3 linked regions of the Ovis aries genome follow. The protein of the gene in region 1 interacts with the protein of each later gene in a biochemical or structural test. Links are inferred from orthologs where the notes say so. Each region holds a gene or a part of one and is shown on either strand. Other genes may lie near its edges.

Region 1 (3,745 bases):
ATATATTTTTCAAACACTTTAGTAATTTTGAATATCAACAGAATAGGTCACCTGTTCATATCATTTACCATGTGTTTGTTTCTCTTTAGTTTCAATTGCAATGAGAATCCATTACTTTTTGGTGTGCCCCAATTTTCAGAATCTTACCTAGTGCAAACTCAAATTTTCAAAAGCTAATTTTCGTGGCCTTTTGGTCAACAGAGACTCAGTTAACAGGAAAAATGTCTTTATCTCCTTTCCTACAAACAAGTCGCAGCAACCATAGAAAAGCACATTTTGGTTGCTTAACTATGTCCATCCTTGGGGGCCGGGGGGTGGGAATTCCTCATCTCCCAATAGGGGGAACTCCAAAGAGAACGTTTTCCTAAAAGGGGCCAACTGGGCGGCGTTCTCTTTTCCCAAGGCCCCGATTTATATTCTTGGATCTGGAGATCTGCGGCGGCTTCTTTCTTCTTCCTAGTTCCCAGAGGTTCCGCGGGCTGCAGGAGACCAGGCTGGCGGGTCAGGGGGTGGCCCGGGGTGAGGACCGCACGCCTCCCGGGCCTCTGAAGTGCCAGGGGCCTGGGCGGTCGGCAGAGTCCGCTGAGTCGGTTTCTTCCGCGCGACTCCCGGCCCCACCACCGGGGCAGGCGGGATCCGGTCCCGGGAGGCTGCGCCCACCCAGGGTCTCGACTCGGCCGCGCGGGGGCCACGGGCGCGGCCTCACTCGGGCGGGCCGCTCTCGCTGAGTCCTGCCCACCCGGCAAGGTTCTGCGCTGGGCCACACCTCGGCCTTCTCTCCTGCAGGCTCCTGCTCGGGGTTTTGGCCTTGCGTGGGGGAGGAGGACGCTGAGGAGGAGGGCTCCGAGAGAGGGCGGGAGCCGCCGCCTTCGCATAAACAGGCGGGCGTGGGTGCTGATGCGGCTGGCTGTGAGTGCTGGCTACGGCCGGTGAGCTGGGCTCGTCTCCTTCCTTCCCGGAGCGGCCTGCCTTAGTGCGGGAGGGGCGGCCGGTTTGGAGCAGGGTCGGTCATGGCCAGCGGCAGCTGCCAGGGGTGCGAGGAGGAGGACGAGGAATCTCTGAAGAAGTTGATAGTTAGGCTGAACAATGTCCAGGAAGGAAAACAGATAGAGACGCTGGTTCAAATCCTGGAGGATATGCTGGTGTTTACATACGCCGATCACGGTAATCTTTTGTCTGGAAACTGTTCCTTACCGCCCGCACCGCCCGCCGCTCCCCCCCACCCGCCCCGCTCCCCCGCCTCCCGCTTTCCCAGGCCTTTTAAACAAACTTTCTCCTCCCAACTTTGTGGCCACACAGACCTGCACTCTTGAGAAGTCGAAAGCTCTCTACTTCTTGGGGCAAACAAGAGCTGACAATTCTAAAATTCTAGGAAGGTCTTGCGCTCACTTCTTCTGCTTTCTCCCTCCTCTTCAGACTTAAAAGGGGTGCCATGAATCGTGACTTTGCTCCTTTTCCTTAACCCCCTTCTTTTCCAGCCTCCAAGTTATTTCAAGACAAAAATGTCCACGTGCCTCTGTTGATCGTCTTGGACTCGTATATGAGAGTCGCAAGTGTGCAGCAGGTAAAAGAGTTGCTTTCATTTCGCCCATTTCCCCTTCTTCGGAAATAGGTGTTTTTCTACTGATACTTTGTACCCAGAGTTCAGGGTTATTTCTGAGATTTGTCCTGACAAACCAGTCTGTGGTTTTAAGATAGGAAGCATTGTTAAATCATTATCAAATGTTAACGGTGTAAGAGGGCCTACTCTGTGCTCCTTAATTATCATTAAGATGTAACTTTATATAATTAACTGACAGAATATGGATGGTGAGGGGAGGGAAATAATAATGGGTTGAGGTTTGGTTTCTTTCATTAGCTAGATTTGTTCCTAAGTGTTTAAAAGAAATTATTCTAAGATTCTTCCCAATGTACAGCATGTTCTAGAGATGACACCATTGTGAATAGTTTGGGAAAGAGGAATAATGAACAGTAATAGAATTAATAATTAAATTAATGAATTGAAGTTACTGGCAAACTCATAGGTTTAAGGGTTTCTTTTTTAAACTTGAAGACAGATTTCTAACCTTCAGTTGTAGTACACCTTGTATTATCTTAAGAGAGTAATGTTTTAGGAGTCCCTTGTAAGTTTAAATCTGTACTTCTCAACTATTTTTATATAAAATGAATGTAAAAGTGAACCTTTTAGAACCTGTGTCATAGGAAACCCTGAAATTTGTTAAATATATCAGATATATTTGAAAAGGAGCCTTAAGACGAAAATTAAGTCTGATACACCGTCAAAACAAAATTACTGCTTAAGGTTAACTTCCTTTGTAGATTTTGAGATTTGGGGAACTTCTTTGTAGATTTTGAGATTTGGGTAGTGCTAGTTTTCTCATTTGCATGTTAGATTCTAAACGGAAAGAGAATTGAACCTTGAACTCTATCGAGGTGCAATGTTTCTTAATATCTACTTGAGAGGCTAGACAGATGTAAGAATTATCTGAATCTCTGTCCGTATCAATTATCTTATGCTTATCTCTGTGTCCAGCTATGTCTAGCTTTGATGAACTATATGCCTAGCTTCTTTTATATGAAGATATATATATGTGAGATAAATGGTTACTTTTATTTTTCTTCAATTGAAGTATATCCCATCTGACTATTGATTTTCAGGCTGTTAGCAAATAAGATCAAGAAAAAAACAGAGGCATGATAAAGACACTGTTCTTTTAACACCCAGTGTCTGAAATTTTGCCTATGAAACATTCAGTCTCCCGCACTGGCCTTTTGTGCTTGCTGCTCTCCACCCACATCATCCTTCTTACTCGCCTCTGCTTTGGTGTTCAAAATTGCATTGTCTGTCAGACCCCATTCCTTGGATTCTGTTCTTGGCAGAGTCTCCTCTGCCAGGCACAACTTTGAACACTGGGCCCTGGGTAGGCTTGGTCTGCAGAGGAGCTAGTGCTAGACTTGAGAATCCAAGGGAGTCTCCAACATACCCACCTCCTAATTTTTCCTCATTTTAGAAACTGCCAGATCCCAGACATGTTTGTTTTGGGTAGTTATGAATGTCATTCAATATCCTTGCCCAGTAGGTACCAAAGACAAAGTATGGAAGAAAATAAGGAATTGTCTTTTGATTTGGTGATTTAATGGAATAGAATTACTTGTTGCAGCGCAGTATATTAACCTGCAAAAGGCATTATGTTTGTGTAGTTATCATTTGATTCTTGATGAAATCTGCTTCCCTTTCAGAAATCTCACTGAATATTTTTTTCTCAGAGTAAGTAGCTCATTTAGGACCACAGAGCTAGTAACAGAGTCAGAACTCAAGTTTCACACACCTTCAAAATCTTTTTTTCATAATATAATAGGTGCTGAATTCACAAACTTTTTATATAACTAAAGAGTATAGTGGTTTGGCACAAATATTGTGGCCATGCTTTGCCTACTGATGTTATTGATTTAAATTATCATTGATCTTATCAAAGGGATGTTTTAATACTCTACTTAAAAGAAAATATTGTCTTCTTCAAATTTATGCATATTACTGGTGAAATTAATATAGATATACTTTAAAGCTTTATACATTGAATCGGCTGAAAGTACTGAAGTAAAAGCACTTGATGAATTTAGGGAATTAAATTACCCTTCAAAAATGAACATCAAGGTTTGTTTTCAGAATTTAACATGACATTCCTGACTCTGAATTTTTATTTTCAATGTCTTTTCGTACTTTATTAGTTCTCCTTAATAAATC
Region 2 (3,645 bases), on another chromosome or scaffold:
AGGCTAGAGCTTTGTCGAGTGAGAGCTTTCTGCCTCTGGTTTGCTGGCTGCTGCTCTTCGCGTCTGATTTTGAAGCCAGTGTGACGTGTGGCCGTGCCTTTGCAGGTGTCAGCCATAAGGGGCCAACTCAGGTGTAAGACGGGCTTCCCTGGTGGCTCGTGGTAGGGAATCCACCTGCCAAGCAGGAGACCTGGGTCAGGAAGATCCCCTGGAGGAGGACATGGCAATGGTATTCATGCCAGGAACATCCCATGGCTGGAGGAGCCTGGTGGGCTGCAGCCCACGGGGTCGCAGAGAGTCGGGCGTGACTGAGCGGCTGAACAGCGGCAGGCGTGAGGCGCGCTACCCTCAGGGCTGCCGGCGGCCCCGCTGAGAGAGGCCCGCGTTGGCGCCCCTCTGCTCCTGGCGCTCGAAGGAAGCGTTCTCGGGCATGTGGCCAGATCCTTGCCTTTCTCTTGGACAGAGAAAGGTTGGCGGTGGGGCACGAAGGGGTCCTGAGCGTGCACCGGGTACGGGGCAGCTGCTGGGCAGTTTCTGCACGCGTGTCCTCTGGGCGCTGCTCTGTGCTTACAGTTGCCCAGGCCCCTGCCCCACGGTGGTGCTGAACGCTGGCTCTTGCTGCCAGCGCTCATCTGGGCCTGAGAACTGGAGGGGCTGCGTGCGGACTGACTGTCCGGGTGGTTTTAGGGCAGGAGTCCTAGATGCCTGGGCCTTGCTAGCTCTGGGCAGTCGAGGAGCGCACACCCTGTGGTACCCTCCTGGGCGCTGTGAGAGCAGCTGGAAAGCTCCGTTTCCCTGGGAAGTCCTCTGGCTCTCAACTGTTGATGACTAAGTCAGCATTTCCTCAGACACTGTGCCAGCCAGTCCAGACAGACCTGCCAGAAAGAGCGGGCCCGGAGGCCCCCAGTTTCAGGATGTTTTCACGGAAGGCCCCCACGCAGCTTCAGGATGTTGCCAGGGCCTGCGTCTCAGGGCAGTGATTCCCTGGAAAGCCTTTTTGTGGCCTCGCTTTCACGGTCCTGCTGCATCTGTGAAGCGGGCTGCTGACTTAGGCGTGCTGGGTGGTGGTGGGGCATGTGGTCCTGGCCAGACCCCCAACAGGGACTGAGCCTTTGGTGCCCTTGACACCCTGGTCCTTCACAGCCCTGGGAGGTGAGGAAGGTGTGGCTGCCCTCGTGCAGAGGGACTCGCCCTCTGAGGGGCCGCTCTGGCCAGAAGGGCCAGGGGCTTCTGTTGCACGTCAGAGTCTCCTTCTCCGCACGGTCCCACTGGGGCTCGCAGCTTGCTGGCCCCGAGGGCAGGCGTGCAGCAGGGGTGCAGGGGGCAAGGCCTGGGTGGTGCTCGGAATTCACCGGGAGGCCTGTTTTCCCCAGGTGAGAGGAAAGGGTCAGAACAGACTGCCGGACGCCAGAGCCGACACGTGTTCTGTGCAGCTGGTTTCTAGGAAGGGCAACGGGGGCGCGTGCGGGTGGGTCCTGCGGGTGGGCAGCAGGGCGCTCAGCCCGCCCCCTTGACGGCCTTGCAGACATCGGCCTGGGGAGTGACTCTGTGTGCGCCCGGCCCTCCTCCCACCGGATCAAGTCCTTTGACTCCCTGGGACCGCAGCCTGCGCACGGCCGGACTTCACAGTTGTTCCAGGGCCAGTACCGCAGTTTGGTAAGTGTGGACGGGGGTCCCGGCGGTGGGAGTGTGTGGTGGGCGGGGCTCGGGAGGCGCTTGGCACGGGGCGGGGGCCTGTGCTGCCTTGCCCCTGCTCTCGGGGCTGGCATTTGCTCATCGCTAGATTATCACGGGTCTCATGTCGCGTCGGCCTATTTCAAGATGCACCTCTGTTTATCTGGACGGACGTGGGCTTTGAAGTGTTTTCCTCGTTGCTTGCATGGTGTCTTCTTTCCTGCTCTACACATGATTAGAAGTTGGGGCACGAGAATCCATGTCTCATACTTAGATGATGACGAAAAGGCTAAACGTGGAAGACCCTCGAGGTGGTTTTTCTCTTTATGAGCGCGTGATAGCACACTGCGGAGTCCGGCTGCAGCGTGTGAGAGGGGCCCCCTCATGAGTGCTGGTGAGGCGGGGGCCCCGGGCTGGACAGACCCCACGAGACAGGCTGTGAGCACAGACCCTGGGAATGAGGCCTCGAGGACCGTGATGAACAGGGCCGAGCAGAGCCTGTGGGGGCGGCCGCCACGTCCGCTGGCCAGGGTGAGTGTCTGCAGGAGGGCCACCAAGCCCCCCAGGGCGGACGCTGGCCTGGCCCTCGGCTTCATCAGCCGCTGCTGTGACTCTGCTTCGTGTGACATCCTAGTAACCATTTCATGTTGGAAACTCAGCGGCCTTGTCATGTGAGTCTGAAGAGAACCTACCCTTCCAGTCTTCAGAGGCCACTGCTTTCTGCTCACCATAGGGGGATGCTGTTCCATAAGCACGTGGGGATCCTGGAGAGATAAAGCCGGCCTGGTTGAGCTGTGCCTTGTAGAGAGATGCATTTGAGTTAGGTCACGAAGCACTGTTAAAAATGGAAAACTGTAGAAGGGGTATAGTTTTTACACCTCTTGAACTGTTCGCGTTCAGGCTGACTCTCCCTCCTGTGTGCGTGACTGCCTGCCTTCCCCTCGGAGAAGCCCCGGAGCCCTGTCTCTGACCTTGAGAACAGCACAGCGCCCGTTGGGCGCGGTTTCTCGGTGCCGGCTGGTCAGCGCTTCATGGGGACTGACGCGTGTCACCGTCCACCTCCCCGGGGCTGGAGGGACTTAGGGGGCCCTGTTGGGAGCATCGTGGTCCAGACGAAAGAAGGAAGGTGTCCAGATCCCTTGAAAACAGCTGCTTCATGAAATACCCATGGAAGACACGCGAAAAGTCAGCAAGCTTTGGGCAGAGAAACCTTCGCTGCCTGACCCATTCACTTGAGGCTCTTCTCGTTTGCTTTTTTTGTTTGTTTTTGAATAAATGAGGATTGGATTGCAATTGAAGAATTTTACTCAGTTAAATGTCCTTTTATGATGAATGTTGCTGAGATCATAGTAAGTATAGGACTAGTGTTTCATTAGAGAAGTTTTGTCACACCAGAAATGGGAAGCCTGCGGCCACCTCAGCTGTGTGGTGGGCACGGTGAGCCGCTCGGAGGGAGCGTGGTGAGACTCCTCCTGACCTGAAGGGGAGGGTGAAACCCGAGATGAGACGCTCGTGACTGAAGCTTCCCTTTGCTGTGGCCGGGCCAGCAGTGGCGGCCCCAGGGAGGGCGGGCTGGCACGGTGTGGCCCGTGGTCCTCTCCCTGCCTTGGGCCCATGTCATCCTTCAGGGTTGGGGGCGCTCGACGGCTGAGAGTCTGCCTCAGGCGTGAAGGGTCCAGACCGCCCTGCCCTCCGCTGACGCTGCCCTGTCTGGGCCTTCGTGGAGTGTCGCTGCCTGAAGCGGGAGGTGTCCTGGTGCTGGCCTGGCTTGGCCTGTTGGGAGGCTGTGGGTCACGTCTTCTGCTGCCTCCTGATGGTGGGGCCCCATCCCACGCCAGTACCGCCCATGTGTGCCCAGCAGTTGGGCTGGCAGAGGGCTCCCGGGGCAGTTTGACATCCTTAGGGGCCTGCTCAGAGAAGGCAATGGCACCCCACTCCAGTACTCTTGCCTGGAAAATCCCATGGATGGAG
Region 3 (3,645 bases), on another chromosome or scaffold:
CCTGGCATGAAGGGTGAAAGAGGGAGCCGGAGGACACAGTGAATGAGAGAATGAGCGACAAAGTCCCTCGAAGAATCATGAATGCAGAGGCAAGCCGGAGGAGCTGCCCACCGCTGTGCATAGAGGCAGCCCTCTCCCAGAGAGCCCCACCCGCACTCACCATCAGCTCCAGGTAGCTCATGCGTTCCGCGGGGTTCTTTCTCAGGCTAGGAGAGAACAGGGTAGGCTGGGGCCAGGATGGCAGGGAAGCGAATCCAGCCCATCCAGGCCAGTCAAGTCAGGCTGGGCTTGGCCCTGCCCAAGCAGCAAGGGGACACACATGCTCCCGAGGCTCAGGAAAGAAAGGGCTGAACTGTCCTGGGGGCTTCCAAGGGCAGAGTGGGATCCGTGGTGCCCACCAGAGAGACTGGACCAATAGTGACCTAGGAGATTTCCAACGATCCCAACACTAACATGCTACCACTAACCATCATATGCTTGGTGTCCTTAATCGAGAGAGGAAGCTCCTTACCATGGGTCCTGGGAGAGAATGATCCTGCCTGCCAGGCGCACCTGTTTTAAGACTTTCTTCTTTTCCAGTGAACGAAAGAAAGGCTGTGAATTCTCCCTTGAGCGTCTCTCCGGCCACAGCACATAGCTGTTGGTATGTTAGATTCTCAAGTCTTCACTTCTCACTACTTTATGATTGTATGTTTTAGATCTCTCTTATAACCCAAGAGTATACTAGAAGAATTTACTTTTAATTTCCTTGTAGCTTTTTTTCTCCATAGTTATGTATTTCCTGTTCCATCTAATTCCAGTCAGAGAATGTGGCCTATAAGACTCTGCCTCCTGCCTTTTCCCTTATTTCCTCTGTAATCTCAAACATAATTAATCTTTACAAGGATCTTGTGGGCATTCTTTAATGTGATACAAAATTCTACACATCAACAAAAGCAAATTTACTGTGTATTTAAATCCTCCATATACTCTTCATTTTCTTTTTTGATCTATGTGATCTGTCCGTTTCTAGAGGAACCGTATTAAAAACTCCTCCCAGGACCATAGCTTGTCAAATTATCCTTATACTCTAACTATTTCTGCCTTCTATTTTGATGCTGTTATTGGGGTTTGTCTGCTCAAAAAGGAGACCGGGCCCAGGGAGGACGGGATCTGGCCGGGGCAGGGAGGGGCACTGACTGGGCTCAGGGAGGCCCTCAGGTCTGAGCAGGGCTGAGACTCACCACTGCGCAGTGAAGTCCACAAAGTCAGGGGAGAAACGGTCAGCTGGGAGCTGGGGGGACGGCTCTTCTACCACCTGCTTCAGCTGCTGGAAGGGGGTCCCCCAGGACTCGTAAGGAAATCGCAGAATGGCCATCTCGATCTGCAGTGGAGATAGCACCCCTGGGTCAGAGACACCCACGCTCTGCACACGGAAGCAAAGCCTTCAAAGATCCTGCCTGTCCTGGTCCAGCATCCAGAGCTGGGCTGTGAGGCAGGTCAAGGGGCTGACAGGTGACATCAGTCCAAAGATGAAAGCCAAGGGGACAGAGGAGTTGGTTCTGTCCCAGCCAGCAAAGACTGTAGCTCATGATACACATTCAACCCTGGGTTTTGACTGGCTTGGCTATCGGGTTTTCAAACAATCTGAATTCAGAAGGTTTTGCATTAAAACCCAGGTTCCAGTTAACCTGGAAAAATCAGAGGGCTGGCAGCCTGGGGTGCTCCCGATAAGGCCACTGTCACCAAAGAGCCTGAGAAGAGTGATCAGCTTCGAAGTTCCCCACAGACCACTCCCTCCTCCCTAATGTCTCAGCAACACCTTAGCTTCTGCTGCCGTTTATGTGGGCTGTTGTTATTAGCGAAAAGGCAAGCAGGAAATGAAATGATTTTCATGAGCTTCAGGAGGAATGTTAGACTAAGAGGTTCATCTCCTGGACTGTGCAGCAATCCACCAGGCCCCATTAGGAAATGAAGTCCGCAGCCCTTCCTCCTCCACAAAGCCCCCACCACCCAGCCACCAACACCTGTAAGCCCATGTCCAACGCTTCCGCCTCCAGGAAGCCTTTCCACTCGGATGCTGTCACTGTTTCTCTCCGACTCCCTGGACACAGGGCTGCCACGGCCTCACCGCTTCCACCAGACCCAGATCCCCCTGTGCCCCGCGCCTCGCCTGCAGGAGCCATCTGTAGCAAAGAATGGCTGTCTCACCACAACCTCTGCTTCCAGTTTTGACTACTGACATGAAAATTCAAGTCCACTTCCCTGAGAAGCGATCACCACTGACATGAAAATTCAAGTCCACTACCCTGACAAGCGATCACCGTAATAAACAGGAGAGACCTCGTCTCAAGCAGACACACCAAAACAGGTCACTAGTTGTGCTCAGAAAGGACCTTCTCATCAGGCCCCAGGCTCCTTTCCAGCCAAGACACAAACAGGCCCACAGATGGAGGTGACACAGTGTGGCGGGAACGGCTATGACCCTGGATTTTCATAGGGCAAAGACAGCCTCCTTTTTTTCCTATAGTTTCCACTGACTCCGGCACACAGGAGTGAGGACCCTGCCTGGGCTGCAGAGAAGGATGCAGTGGCCACCAGAGCTCAAGAACAAAAACAGAGAAGTGTCCAAACCTTGGACCTAGTCATTCCTCTCCTGGTAATTTTTTCTAAAAGAGCTCAAAAAATGAAAACATAAGCAGCCTCTGGGCACAGAGACACATACTACAGCATTATCTGTGGGAGTAAACGTGGAGAAGCAGCAAGAACGAGCAGGGCAAGGCTGAGCCTCGCCACTGTCGTGAAGCCCTCGTGCACAAGGAGCCAGTTGGTCTTGGGCTGGCTGTGCATTCTCAGTGAGCACGAGCCCTGAGGAAGTCCAACAGGCAAGTGGTCACAGACGAGAGCGGCATAACGCTGCCCTAACCCAGGGAGGGCGTGAGGCACCTGCGGACACTCTGCTAAGGACCCCATAATCTTTGATGGCACTGTCTCTTCTCACATCGTGAAGCCAACCAACCCTTCTGTCCAGGCTAGACTATCTGGCCCCCAGAAGCTCACAGACCTGGCACAGCCCCCACCTGTGCTCCACCCGACCAGCAAGGGTGCCCCAGGACGTACCATGGTGATGCCGAGGCTCCAGACATCAGACTTGACATTGTAGCCTTTCTGGTTCAGCTCTGGGTTGATTCTCTCGGGCTGGAAGAGGAGCCAGAGCAGGGTCACCCAGGCCCCCTCAGCTGGGTCTGGTTGCCCCCCACAAAACGTAGGGGCCAGTGCTCACCCATCCTACCTCCCCCAGAGCAAGTGTGGAAGCTGAGGCTGGTGAGGGCCGGGGTCTCGAGGTGGAAGCCTAAGTCTTGCCACACAGCTGCCACACCTGGGGGTCTCACCTTGGGGTATCAGCAACTCCCACAGGCCCCACCAGCCACCCCGCTGAGGTGAAACCTATCATCCAAATGGACACGGTGGGGCCAGTCAGAAAGGGGTGGAGAGGGCTGAGCAGGAGACTCCCTCTAGAAGGAAATTCGGGGTCTGGGGAGGCCTCATTCCTGATGGAGCAGGACACAGCTAAGGTGCCTGAGCCTGGCTGTTTCCTCTGGGCATGACCTGGGCACCCCACTTACGGCCATGTAGGGTTTGCAGCCAGCATCCATTGTCTTAGCC

Evidence for each region.
Region 2: of the proteins of LRRK2 (region 1) and ARHGEF7, one has a biochemical effect on the other in vitro, tested with the Homo sapiens proteins (2 studies listed by BioGRID and IntAct). The link is inferred for Ovis aries from reciprocal best matches to the Homo sapiens genes LRRK2 and ARHGEF7.
Region 3: of the proteins of LRRK2 (region 1) and MAP2K3, one has a biochemical effect on the other in vitro, tested with the Homo sapiens proteins (2 studies listed by BioGRID). The link is inferred for Ovis aries from reciprocal best matches to the Homo sapiens genes LRRK2 and MAP2K3.

What each region holds. Positions count from the first base shown.
Region 1 is NC_056056.1:147,019,644-147,023,388, reverse strand, and holds the start of LRRK2 (leucine-rich repeat serine/threonine-protein kinase 2), read left to right. Parts: upstream 1-901; 5' UTR 902-1,010; coding exon 1,011-1,164; intron 1,165-1,301; exon of another isoform or gene 1,302-1,478; coding exon 1,479-1,564; exon of another isoform or gene 1,565-1,604; intron 1,605-3,745. Other genes in the region: uncharacterized protein LOC121819120, read right to left, coding at 285-875. UniProt on the Homo sapiens protein: Serine/threonine-protein kinase which phosphorylates a broad range of proteins involved in multiple processes such as neuronal plasticity, innate immunity, autophagy, and vesicle trafficking.
Region 2 is NC_056063.1:84,836,529-84,840,173, forward strand, and holds part of ARHGEF7 (rho guanine nucleotide exchange factor 7), read left to right. Parts: intron 1-1,525; coding exon 1,526-1,656; intron 1,657-3,645. UniProt on the Homo sapiens protein: Acts as a RAC1 guanine nucleotide exchange factor (GEF) and can induce membrane ruffling. Functions in cell migration, attachment and cell spreading. Promotes targeting of RAC1 to focal adhesions. May function as a positive regulator of apoptosis.
Region 3 is NC_056064.1:35,010,589-35,014,233, reverse strand, and holds part of MAP2K3 (dual specificity mitogen-activated protein kinase kinase 3), read right to left. Parts: coding exon 3,606-3,645; intron 3,178-3,605; coding exon 3,100-3,177; intron 1,364-3,099; coding exon 1,224-1,363; intron 207-1,223; coding exon 161-206; intron 1-160. UniProt on the Homo sapiens protein: Dual specificity kinase. Is activated by cytokines and environmental stress in vivo. Catalyzes the concomitant phosphorylation of a threonine and a tyrosine residue in the MAP kinase p38.